Linked DNA regions of Drosophila melanogaster. The protein of the gene in region 1 interacts with the protein of each later gene in a pairwise test. Each region holds a gene or a part of one and is shown in the gene's direction. Other genes may lie near its edges. The genes, in order: CG33655, CG43386 and CG12699.

Region 1 (4,442 bases):
GTGGCTTTGGTTATTCCCTCCGTGGAGCTTATAATTGGCTTGGTGGGTTCCACCATTGGCGTAGCCATTTGTATAATGTTCCCCGCATCCAGTTTTCGAAAAATCATCAAAAAGGAATCTATGGAACGTACGCTTGCCCAGTTTGTATTCGTAAGTGGATTTCTATTGATGATCCTGGGAACGTATGCGAACCTAAGTGCAATTGATGAAAAGAGCTCCGGCCCGGAGTTTGATATGGTTGCCATAGGCACCCCTCTGTATCCCGATGGCCAAGTGCCAGCTGTCGTCGGCGAGCTACCAAAACATTTGGCCAAAGAATCCATTGACAGTGAAAAGAACCTATTGTTAAAGAAACTGGATGTCCAAAATCCAGACAAATTAAAACAAACCGTTGAGGATAAAGTTGTTGATATGCCGGAGGTAGTGCAATCAGCTTCCTCCGACAACCCACCGTTGCCACCACTGCCCATCGATGAAGTCCATGTAGTTCCCATAGATAGTAAAAATTCTGAAACGGATATTAAAAAACTACCAGTAGAAGCCGTAGAAGCAAACCCACCAGAAGCCAAACCACTCGATGTCAACCTTACCGTGGATAAGCCCAAGAATAATCCGCCTGCTGTTGCTGCATCGCTTCCAGATAAACCAAAAATTGGATCGAGCTTGTTATCAGCAAGCAATACAATTGATGGAGCGGCCATCAAGAAGGAGGAGGACGTGGCTGCCGAAGAGCAAAAGGAAAGTAAGGCTAATGCAGATGAGCTACTCAAAACCCAAAAGGAATTAAAGGAGACCAAAAAACTATTGGCGAAAACCGTTGGGGAGCTAAACGAAGAGTTGGCCAAGAAAAATTCATTTAATCAGCCACCTTTGGAGTTACAGAAAGATGAGCCTTTGGATACTGGTGCGAAATTTGCCGAGGAACCGAAGAAGGCTGAAATTAAGCTTAAGGAGTCGCAGCCAGTTGCGGACGAAAAGAAGGAGAGAAGGCGGCAGGCATCGTTAATGGACATACTCACGGAAAATACACATTTGCGCGATGAAAAGGAGGCCCATGCCGGCGTTTTTGAACCTCTATCCTACAAAACCGGAGAGTTACTCAGGAATTCGACCGTAGATAAAGAAGCGCTTATCAAACGATTGCCCATTCCACTAGCCCTAATGGTGAATTCTACTCAGCCGAAATCATCGAATGACTCGGAGATCAAGAAACCCAACCTTGAAGACAATGTAGAGGCCATTCGCCGGGAGCTGCTCAATCTGCGAAGTTCGGCGGATGCGACAGAGCAGCCACCGGCAAGGGTTAAACGTGAGGCCTCAAACGACGAGAACTGCCTACGCCAGCCCAAGCTGGATGAAGTGAATAATAATGTGGCTGCAGCTGCCTTGAGCTTGAACATGGAAAGTATTGGACGCGATCTCAAATCCATCAAAGATGATGACGTCGAGATAGTTACTGAAAACGAATCCTACCAAGCGAGTCCAAATGGAACCCAAACTTCGCTGCAGACGTAATGCGGATAGTTTACAACTATGCAAAGCTTTATGTATATAACCTTTACATGTATTTATTTAGTTTATAAGAAACTGTAGACTAGAAGTATATACAAATTATATACAGTTCATATGACTTGGGAATATTGTGTCAAATTTCTCGTGGAGTTGCTAGCAAAATTGTATGTGAAGCCCAGGTTTTTTGTAATTCCATCAAAATGTCCATCGTCCTTGATGTTATCCAACAAGTTGTGTTGCAGAAAGCTTACGATCTAACATGCGAGGCAGCCATTTTAGCCTTGAGAAAATGTGGCAAAGTGAGTAGGTGTAATATTTTTAAAATAATATTTATATCGCAATGGTTAATTTCTATTTAAGCTGAAAATAGAGGATGGTAAATCGAAAGCAAAGCGTGAAAAGCCTCTACCTCCGGTCAAGCCTATTTCCCAGGAAGCGGTTTCACCAATGAAAGCTCCAACGATTCCCGAGGCTAACACCATTCCAAAATATACGGGACGGGACATGCCTCGAAAGAACTTTGGCTCCATCGATCCCCCCCAATGCTCCTGCATGCGTGTGTGCCGAGATAGTTACTTCTCTTAGACGAAAAAGAACGCTTAAAAACAATTGCAACTTTAATAGAATAGGAATAGCAAAATTTCAAGGGACCTCAGGCATCGAATCTCATTCCATCTTGTATCCGTACAATTATCAAACGTAACACTAATAACAGTTTTTGGTAGCAACTAACAGGTTTGAATATGAGTATTTACGGTGGTTTAGGCCACGTCTGCTCCCAAGGAGTGCAGATCGTACAGGACTTCCAAAATGGCAGCAACACTCCAGGCCTGCGTGCGACAGGAGTCACCGCAGTAGGAGCCATTATCGTTGGTCAACTCGGGCAATCCGCGCCAATGGGATGTCTGTAGCTCTCGGAGATGGGCCCGTAGTATGGCCCAGGTCTCGGCAATGGTCTCGTCCAAATGGCCACACTTTTTGGCGAAGATCAGGCGCGCCCGCAGGTAAAAACCGATGGGCCATACCCACTCCGGCCCCTGGTGGTAGTTTGCGCCATGGGCTACAGTGCAATCGGTGGAGTCATTTGAGTTGTCATAGTTGGCCCTATAGTTCCAGTCCTCGGGATCCATCGTCTTCATGCCCAGCGGTCCCAGAAGATACTTTTTGGCGCGCTCCAGTGCACGCCAGGCATTCTGAGGATTGCACAGGTCGGGAGCCACGGTCAAGGTGATGGGGAAGTTGCATCGCAGCTGGTAGTCCGTCCAACTCTGGGTGGCTCCATAGCTGTCCTTGTAGATAAGCTTCTTGTTGGCCACCGAGCAGGTTTCCGATTCGGATACAAAGAAATACTTGTCAAAGTTGTTCTTGATGCGATCCGCCCACTCCTTGTAGCTCCACTTGGTCACTTCGCCCGATGGACCCTTTCGTTCCACGCCGGTGTACGGGATAACCTCCTTTTCGGCTAGGCTTTGCATAAACCGGAGTACGGCATACTGGAGGCCAACGAGCTCCACGGCTGATCCGTCGCGCGGCGTACTTGGACGTCCCTTGTTTCCGGCCTTCTGTGAGGATCCCATTTTGTCCATCCAAGTGCCGCAGTTGAAGTTATTGCCTCCGAATACAAAGCCAGTCTCCGGGTGAATTCCGATCTGATTGTTAAAGCCCTGGTCCACCATGTGCGCATCGATCTCATAGCCTGCATTGCGCTCCCTATACTGCAAGCCCTGAAAATGCACCTGCAGTGCCTCCTGCATCACGTCGAAGAGAAGTTGGTCGAAGGCACCTGGAGCATGGGCATCGGCATCGTCGTACGGAAATATGCGGGACACCTTGTCCTTCAGGATCTCGGCACCCTTGGGGGCATCCTCCACATACTGCTTGATGCAGTACATCCACCACCAGATAGCATCGCGGCAGTTGAATCTCGGCTTGCTGCCGCTGTCCAAAAGATTCGGAATGAGTCCGTGTCGAAGGGTCTGACCAAATCCAATGATGATGAAGCGAGCCTCGTTGTAACGGCCAGTGAGGAACATGGAGCCACGCAGAGCGATGAAGGTATCACGGCCCCAGCACCGCATATAGCCTACATAAATGGTTGAATATTCCATTATTCCGTTTCGATTGTTAAATATAATAGATAAACTCACCCGTTGAGAAATGCGGCAGACCAGCAGATAGAGTCACACATTGCTTTGGAGGCTTGGGTGGACTTAGAGCAGGACTGAATCCCGGCAGATTGGCCGACTTGCAAACGGAGAGGAACTGCAACGTGGACAGGGCCAGGGATTGTGGGAAACTGTGGCCATTCTTAATGAAGCTGTAAAAATTAAAGACTTAATAAAAACTCCATGAATGCAGTCGGCTCTAATGGACATACTCTGGCATTAGTTCGTTGACCTGGTTGATGAGCACATTGTAAACCCCGCTGACAATGGCATCAAAGTAGCAGGGTATGAGGTAGCGTGGAATATTCTTCAGTGGCTCAAAGGTAGCTTTGAACCAGGCGGAGAGTGGTTTCAGGTCTTCATAACTAGTTAGGCGATCAGAAATGTAATCTGAAAAGAATTATGTTGTAAAGTAACTACATAAATCTCTATCTTTACAAACTTACCCATCATCCAGTTTCCGTCGCGCAGATTGTTACAAAGCGGATGTCCCAAGTCATTTTTAGGCGAAATCTCCGTCAACAGGGAAATGAATCCTTGCAATCCGCAGTAAACGATCTTTCCAAAGTTGGGAATGTCGTAGGCGGTGCCACCTTTGCCAAGATCCCTCTCCTCATCATCGCAGCTGAAAAGGGCACCACTAAGTGCCACCAGATCCAACTTGGAGACGATAGCCTGCAGCTGGGAATACTCCTCGCCAGATCCAATACGCAGGGCAGCCGAGATTTTCTGGAGCTTATCGAAACTGGTGCGAGGACCAGGATG
Region 2 (4,880 bases), on another chromosome or scaffold:
GTGGTGGAGGAGGCGGTGGCGGTCTGGTTGGCATCATTAGCAGCCTGAGCGGTGTAAGTGGAAGGCTAAGAAACCCATAAATATTTATTTAAAATGGATTTATTTAGGGTGAAGGTGGTTCCGATGTGGGTGCCTTAATTGGTGCCCTTACCGGTGTGATATCCACTTTATTTGGAGTAAGTATTGAAGTTTTCCAATCAATCAAGGGTATTTAAATAGAAAAACTATCTTTTAGCCTGGAGGCCTAGATGTGCAAGGTCTGATTCAAACGGGAACCTCGCTGATCTCTGGTCTTCTGGGCGGGAATAAGAACTTTGGCCTCGTGTTGGGACAATATGTGGGCACTGCTTTGGATGGTCTCTCTGGAGGTGGTGGAGCGGTGGGTTCCTCAAACCTATTTTCATGAATTTCCAGTCATTTTACTTGCATATATTATTTTTTCCAGATTAACAATGGCCAGTTTATAGGCAACTTCTTGGGCACTGTGCTGGCCGCATTGAGCGCTGTATTTATATATTTTGCTTATATATATATTTACCTTCTAGATCCCAACCTCATAACTGTGTTACTAACCCCTGAACGTCATTTATTTAGCGAGTGCAATAAACAACATTCTACAATCTTTAACAGGATCCCGAGGAGGAGGGCCCACCGCAACCATTGACCTTCACCAAGAACCTGATCACCAGCTTCCTGGAGGCAAAGTTTCGACCAATTTCAGAGGACGGCTCAGAGGAGCGACACGGAAGTGCGGAGTTGCCACGCCCGCGAAAGAAGAAGGAGGGCGGTGGATGGGCAGCTGCGGCGGCAAATAACTTTGATTCTGGAGGATTTGTGAAGCAAGTGGCCTCCCATCTGGTGAGCAATGCCCTTGGATTGATTTTGAATGCCGGTCTGGGAGCCGCTGGAGGAGCTTCGAGTGCAGCCAAGAATATTTTCGCCAGCAGCAGCATGGGTCATCATGCCAAGCCGGCAGATCACCATAGATCTTGGAACCCCTACCATAATGAGCCATTCTAGCCAGCTTAGTCATCACATAATCATAGTTACGTTAATCGTTTGTGTTAAACCCATTTTTTTTTTGCTAGTTCGTAACCGAAATAAATAAAGAAGTGAGGAGAAAGACTTGTTGGTCACTTGGGCAGCTAAGAAAGCGTAAAAGAGGGGCTCTAAATCAAGTGGCGTAACAGCTTGGACAGCGGCTGATGCAAGAGATCCGATGGAATTCAGTGGGAGCCACTGCAATGAACCACTCCCCCAAGGATGCGGTGGGGCAAATCACTGGATGGAAACGCAAAAAGCGAAAGCTCGCAATGAGCGGAAGTAAAAACTAAGTAAAGGTTGAGGGGTGAAATAGCTTGTTTGGGTTCATTTCCTCAAACTAAAGTTCAGTGGAAGGTAGAACAGGGGAATGAACTACGGATTTCGGCTCAGGAGTTTCGCTTCAAAAATTAGTTTTAAATACATTTGGCAATACCTTAATTAACTAATATTTAAATTAAAAAGATAGAATTAATATATATTTTGTAACCCAATAGCCTAATAGCGAATATTTTTGGATCTTCTTGACCCAAGAGTTTTCCCTGAACCTTTCTCCGTGGGCCAACTACTTGGTAGCTTGCCCAATGGAGCGGGCATTGTGTCACTTTCTACTGATTACAGGTTTCATTAAAATGCTTTTACTTGTTTACTTCTGGTGCTTTCTCTGACTCTCTCGCTCTCTCTCTTCCGCCTGCTCTCTCTCTCTCTCTCTCATTCTGTCTTTCTCTTTTTTTTTTTTGAAGTGGGCTGAATATTTTTTTAGCGGCGAGTTTCAGTTTTCAGTTATGCGTGAATCTTTCACAAGACAAAGTGACATTTTGCGGGCCGTTTAGTTGTCGCGTTTTTAATTTGAAAAACTTCAGGTTGTGTTTATTGTTTTGTGTTTTTCTTGTGCGCTCAGTGTTTGTGCTGGTTTATTTGCATTTTGAAATTGTTTATGAACTCAATTATATATTTGGGTGCTTCGGAGAGTTCGCATTGCAATTAAGTTTGGCAAGCCGCATTTTTATTTTATTATATTTCGGGTGAGTATGTATATAAGGCGGCTGAAAGCCGAAAAAAAGGGAAATAAGCGACAATCCCAGCTCAAAATGTATGTCAAAACGAAAGACTTAGGCAACGAACTTGCTAACTGGGCTAAGCCTCAACTGAAAATGCTGGCATAGGTCAGGTCTGTTCCAAAAACAAACAACACTACGGGGGGCTATTAATGGAGGGGGTTATTGAAGAGGGGGGGGGCGCTATTGGTTAGCGTTCGTCCATTAATCGCTTTGGCTACCGAAATTTGGCAACAGCGCCGACGTCAACAATGCAAAAGTGAAGATTCAAATGCGTTAATTGCTTCATAAATCAATTAACAAGAGCCTAACCAATCGTAAGCCGAAAAAAGGGAGAGTTTTATTGTTCTCCTATGACTTACGCTTTGTGTTCAGTGTCATATTTGATTGTTGATTATATTAAGCTATATGGATGGTGTCCAACATTTACTGGTTGACGTGCTACTTAAAATGCTATATAAATTACAAATTTTACATACATTTTAAAAAGGTTTTTTGTTTTTATAGGGAAGTGATTTGAGGGAACTTTCCTTTTTACTCTATTTCATTCGCATTTCATTTGAATTTTCGGGGTTAACTACCTGGTAACCTACTACTCATATTCGGCCTGACCCCTGGTCGCTGTCATGATTGAGGATGAACCAGAGTCAGAGCTAAAAAGACACTCAAAAATTAAAAAAAAAAACAAAAAAAATCACCAACTTGTCTGGGCCATGCAAGAGTGGCCTGGCCCAAAGAAACCGGTAACGGTCTCAAGGTCGTTCGTCGAATCGATGGCTCTGGCCAGATAAGCCTTAGCCCAAGATACAGCAGCCAGTTTAGCCATCAACGCGCTTTGGGCCAAAAGCTAAAAGCTATCAGCCATCAACTCTAAGGCATAAGCAATAACAAAACTCAGTGATGATAGCTGGGCCAAAATAAAAAATAAATAAATAAAATCGAAAACGAGGAAAAAAGCGAAAGTGAACGCCATGAAAGTGGAGCAGTCGAGCTGGAAATCCGCCGAAGGCAAACCGGCGGGGGGGGGGGGGTTGCGTCTCTTCATAAACAAAAAGATATATATGCAGGTGTCATATCTAAGTCGGTCAATAAGTTTATTGACCAGGCGACGCTCCAAATTGTGCGGTTGTTTCGGGAGAGTTATGCAAATCGATTGTGGCAACCCGATATCGAAAAGCGTAGAAACTTATGGCCGTTAAACAATGCACCCTTTTATATTTTTCGGGCCGATTAATATGCAAATCTCGAAATTTCTTATCCACCACTCGATATGTTGTGGCTTTATGTTTCAATTATGAGCGTTAAAGTCCGTATCGCAGATCTTGTATTATACGAATTTTCACACATTTTTTATGATGATATTTTTCCTGGGCAGTAAATTATAAGTTGATGCGGGTCTGGGCGAATGACTGTTTATGTTATTACCGGAGTGTTTTTGCCTATTATAAAATATGTTTAATACTCTTGAGTTTTATTTGCTTGGCAATTTCATAAGCCTTTGGCATTTTCGTTTAGCTTAGAAGTGATTTCCAATTTACGCCTCATTTAACAGCACTAAGTTCTGCACGGCAATTAAGCAAAGTGATCAGATTTGAAATGCCTTTCAAAATATCTAATGCCAAAATGATATTATTACGGGGCGACCTTCGCCGGCCGCCAGTGGCGAGATTTATTAATACTATAATTACAATAATGGCTGAACAAACAAATAAACGCTACATGACAGCAGAATCTGAATCTCCGGCAACCTTTGCGCAAAATCAAACGAATCATTTTTGCCTGGCCAAGAACAAAGTTCGTTTGTCCGATTCTAATACTAATTCTCAGACTGAGTTTTCAGTGAATGGTGGTCAGTTATTTAGTCTGTCGGCAACGCCTTTTCCAATTAAATTCGACCCGGCTATTGGGTACAAAGCAAAAGCACTCGATGCGAAAGATTGGCTTACAAACGGTCTTAATATAAACCGAATTAACTTTATTTTTCCATTAGAGTATTACACATGTGGTGCAAATCTTCGTGGGATTTGCTAAGTTAATTGCAACTTTTTAGAGATTGTCTACACACAACAACTAAAAGTCATTTGAACGTATCTCTTAAAACAAAAATATCAATTCTTTGGCAAGACGTTCTATTGCTTAGTGATTGGTTTTAAAGATATATGGTACCTCTTTTTTTTATATCTTGCCTATACCTGGCACATATTTATTTTGGCATATTTTAGATATTTATTAATAAGTAATCCCAGTCTTAAAAACATTTCCTTGGTCAAATGTCAAATGTACTGGCCGTAAAACACTTGCGCAAAGCCATCAGCAGTTCATTAGAGGCCCATTGCTGCGGCGGAGTTGAATACATTAGATGGAAATGGATGCGGAATCGAGTGCTGGCTTCTCCTCCATCTGGTTAACGAGCCGCACTCTCGGTCCAAATGAATTGGTTAATGGGTAATGGTTATGACCGTCTTCCCAACTTGCGGCGTGTAAACGGTTACTCGTTAAGCAAGGGGGTGCCCAATAGACCTGTTACCCGTTTCACTATATCTATTTTCCATTTTAATTTTATTATTAATTTTTTTTTCTCTGTTTTTCCTGCGTGCACTTAGCGGAGTCATTGTGGCCAGAACAGCGATGAGCAGGTGACATTAATGCCATGGCCCAAAACTGAGCAAAACCACACAAAAAAAAAAGAAAGAAAAAATAGCAGCCAGCGCATAATGCATAATGACAACCGTTGCATAACCCCCCCGCCAGTTGGGCAATGCCAAATTATGCCCCGACATG
Region 3 (3,264 bases), 4.1 Mb from region 1:
ACAGATGACAGACAGAAGTTAATATTTGCCTAGTTATATAGCAGCCTTTTTCGTCTACTATCTACCGGCTTCATATGCTTTTTTTGGTAAAGCACTTTCTCTCTTTTTTTTGGGCCTCCGAATTTTGGCATTGTTTTAATGCATTTGCAAGCCCTGACAACTTTGGGCGCGTGGGTCGAAAGTTTCGAGGGTGGTTTTCCCCTTTCCATTTTCATTGTGCAATTGGAAACTTTGTGCAACAATAAAATTGCAGCCAAAAAAAAATATATATATATGAAATAAAAGAAGCAGGGCACAGCAAAGGCAGCAGGCTAACAATGCAGGCGTTGTAAAAAAGTGAGGATAATAAAACGCAGTGCAAGTCGCCTGGTGTAGCCTACTTATGGATAGGAATGGATAGGCAGCGGGTGGAAAAACAAACGCCGCATTTAAACTCTCAACATCCGCGGCGACTTCCGGAGCGGTAAATTATGCAGACCTCGTGAAATATCACTCATTGTTCTCGCCATATGATTTAATCGCCAAGTGGCACAAAAAGAAAATAGTCTGCCACTATAAGCCATATATATTATATTTCGCATTAAATACATGTCAATGCATAAATAATCATAAGCTTTGAATAATTTTTTACAGAGGATAAAGGATATCCATCCTATCGGCGAATATACACAGATTGACGAGCCAATTGGCAACGTAACTGAAGTTGCCTTTCTAGTGGTTTCTCAGTTTCAGCTACGCATTGGACATCGATCAAAATTTACATCTGTGGCAGGTCGAGATGGATTCCGTGTGTTGCTCATACGCCTCGTTGCACATTTATGATTTCCCAGCACATAACAATCCACAGCCAATCGAGTCGGAATCGAGACGAATTTATGGTCGTGACACCTTGAATCGAATAGACTGTAGATCACTTAAAAGAATGGTAAAAACTATTTGAGGAATATTTGTGTTTACTACTCTTCAGATATTAAGGCTATATTTAACTGGAATATTTTTAAAGTATTTTTTGCTTTTTTATTTGTCTTTTTTTTTTAGAAGCGCAATAAAGTAACAAATTGATTACCTCATAAGACTAAATTTTGAGGAAGTACAAGTATGTTGTATGTTAAGCAAAGATATTTTAATAGAGTTTATTGTGTGTCTTAAGTTAAAACTGGCAACGAAATTGAAATGTTTGTGAATGAAATTAACACCACCCGGTACGCACACACACACACACACATATGTGCAGACCGACTCAGACAAGCACACACGTACGTATACGCCGAAATGCAAATGCAAATTGCATTTGTTTGCGTTGTGTCATTTGTCGCTTGGATGGAACCGAAATGATAGGGTCGTGGAGGGGGAGCTGGTGGGTTAAGGGAGAACCGGGGCTGACTACAACTCTCAGCTGGCAAATGTGACAACTTGTTACAAAATTCATCAACTTATGAAATATAAATCACACACCACACTGGAGGAGTCAGCAGAGATAAAACGATGGAGAGTGCCAGTTCATCTAGAATATTCTACAGACGTCATTAGTTTTGCAGGCCCAAATGGCTTTGCAGGCTTAAAACCATTTGAATCCAATTTTCAGAGCTAACTTTAGCAGGCCTTTCGAAAGTACTATGGGCTATTTTGAATAAGTGCGGTCAAATGTACGCTTAAATAAGCGCAGAATTGATCTCCTAAAAAACCAGCAAGCTCAAAATCAATTTGCTATTAGTAGGCAACAGAATTTCGTGTATTTTAAAAGTTTATATATTATTTACTTTTTACTTAATATTTACTCCCTCCATCCCATTGTACTTCCTACTTGAACGGTTTTAAATTCAACCTCAGCAGGCCGATTTTTCGAAATGCCAAGACCTGGAACACCTAGCCGGTATAACAATTCATTCCAACGCCATCACCCCAACCGTTAACAACTATTACTATAAGATAAATTCATTTCGACCTAGCCGTTTTTTCACCTCCAACAGGCAAGTAAAAACGAAAAAAATTTCATATTCTTTTTTTTTTTTTTTAGAAATGTACACGGTAGAAATTTAACTTCTCTTTTTCTTGCAGTCCAAAATGTCAGAAGAAGAAGCCCCAGGATCTCCGGGTGAGGCTGTTGAAGAAGAAGATACCACTACATCCGATGCTGATACAACCACAGCTGGTGCCCGCATGATGATGATCCACCCATGGCTGACGGCCGCCGCAGTGGCCATGTATGCCACCAAGGTCATGTGGGTCAAGTTCCGTGAGATCGGCCTGGCTAAACAGGAAAAACGGCTCAAAAATCAACTGGCGAAGCAGTCTAAGCCCTTGCAGACTATTGATGAAGATGTTTCCGAATCTGATGCAGAATATGATGCAGAATCTGATGCAGAATCTGATGCAGAATCAGATGCAGAGGACGAAGACGTCGTCGGGCCCCAAGTCGAAGATGCAGCAGAGGGACCGGGATTCGAGCCAAACCGTGTGGATATATGCCATCGCCCGATCGAAGTCTCTACTGACTGCTGATGTTCGAATCGGGGATGAAGGACCGCGGAAGGATGAACATGCACACACACACTGGACAACTACACTAATTGTTGTAATGCTTGCGTTTTCCGTAGGGGAGGATCCACGGACAATGTTTGACATGTACCACCACATTGGGGGACACAAATTGTTAGTTTTAAAACATTAACCAAATTTCTTGTACCACATTGCGATATTTGAATTAGTTTTTATGAGTTTATATTAAATGCTGCGATGAAAGTATGGTACCCTATTAACAAAGAGCAATTCGTTTTGGGAGGGGGAAATAAGAAATCGTCTACTACGACACATGGGCAGGTTCGATTTCAGTTTTCCCATATGGCAACAGATTCTTTCGTATCGGTGTGGTCATCCAAGGGCTTTACTTTTGTGTTAAGATTTTCAAGAACAAATTTGGATTCACGTCATCTCGATACCATACACCTAACTGTCAAAAAACTGCTTTTATATAAGATTATTGTGATTAATTCCCTTTACCAGGCAGGAAATACAACATGAGTGAGTCCGCATCTGAGGACACAGATTCTGAAGGGGTTGCTGCCGTGCCAGTTCCCGATACCACGCCTCGCGATGCGGACGCCACAACTTCCGGAGCCCGGATGATGATGCAACACCCATGGTTGACGGCAGCCGGAGTTGCCGTCTATGCCACCAGAGTCATTTGGGTCAAGTTGCGTGTGCTCCGGTTGGCCAAACAGTTGCGCCTCCAGAAGCAAAGATTTTGGAAGTCTAATCCCTGGC

Evidence for each region.
Region 2: the proteins of CG33655 (region 1) and CG43386 interact in a two-hybrid assay, tested with the Drosophila melanogaster proteins (one large-scale study listed by BioGRID).
Region 3: the proteins of CG33655 (region 1) and CG12699 interact in a two-hybrid assay, tested with the Drosophila melanogaster proteins (one large-scale study listed by BioGRID).

Annotation. Positions count from the first base shown.
Region 1 is NT_033778.4:21,317,234-21,321,675, reverse strand, and holds CG33655 (uncharacterized protein), read left to right. Parts: upstream 1-1,658; 5' UTR 1,659-1,712; coding exon 1,713-1,811; coding exon of another isoform or gene 1,812-1,815; intron 1,816-1,872; coding exon 1,873-2,097; 3' UTR 2,098-2,273; coding exon of another isoform or gene 2,274-3,595; 3' UTR 3,596-3,659; coding exon of another isoform or gene 3,660-3,829; 3' UTR 3,830-3,883; downstream 3,884-4,442. Other genes in the region: CG30394 (uncharacterized protein), read left to right, coding at 1-1,515; CG9485 (uncharacterized protein), read right to left, coding at 2,274-3,595, 3,660-3,829, 3,890-4,067, 4,124-4,442.
Region 2 is NC_004354.4:9,974,345-9,979,224, reverse strand, and holds the start of CG43386 (uncharacterized protein), read left to right. Parts: upstream 1-1,819; 5' UTR 1,820-2,066; intron 2,067-4,880. Other genes in the region: CG15252 (uncharacterized protein), read left to right, coding at 1-53, 108-176, 236-379, 446-505, 631-1,020.
Region 3 is NT_033778.4:17,246,023-17,249,286, reverse strand, and holds CG12699 (uncharacterized protein), read left to right. Parts: upstream 1-1,903; 5' UTR 1,904-1,970; intron 1,971-2,058; 5' UTR 2,059-2,064; coding exon 2,065-2,502; 3' UTR 2,503-2,757; downstream 2,758-3,264. Other genes in the region: CG18469 (uncharacterized protein), read left to right, coding at 3,018-3,264.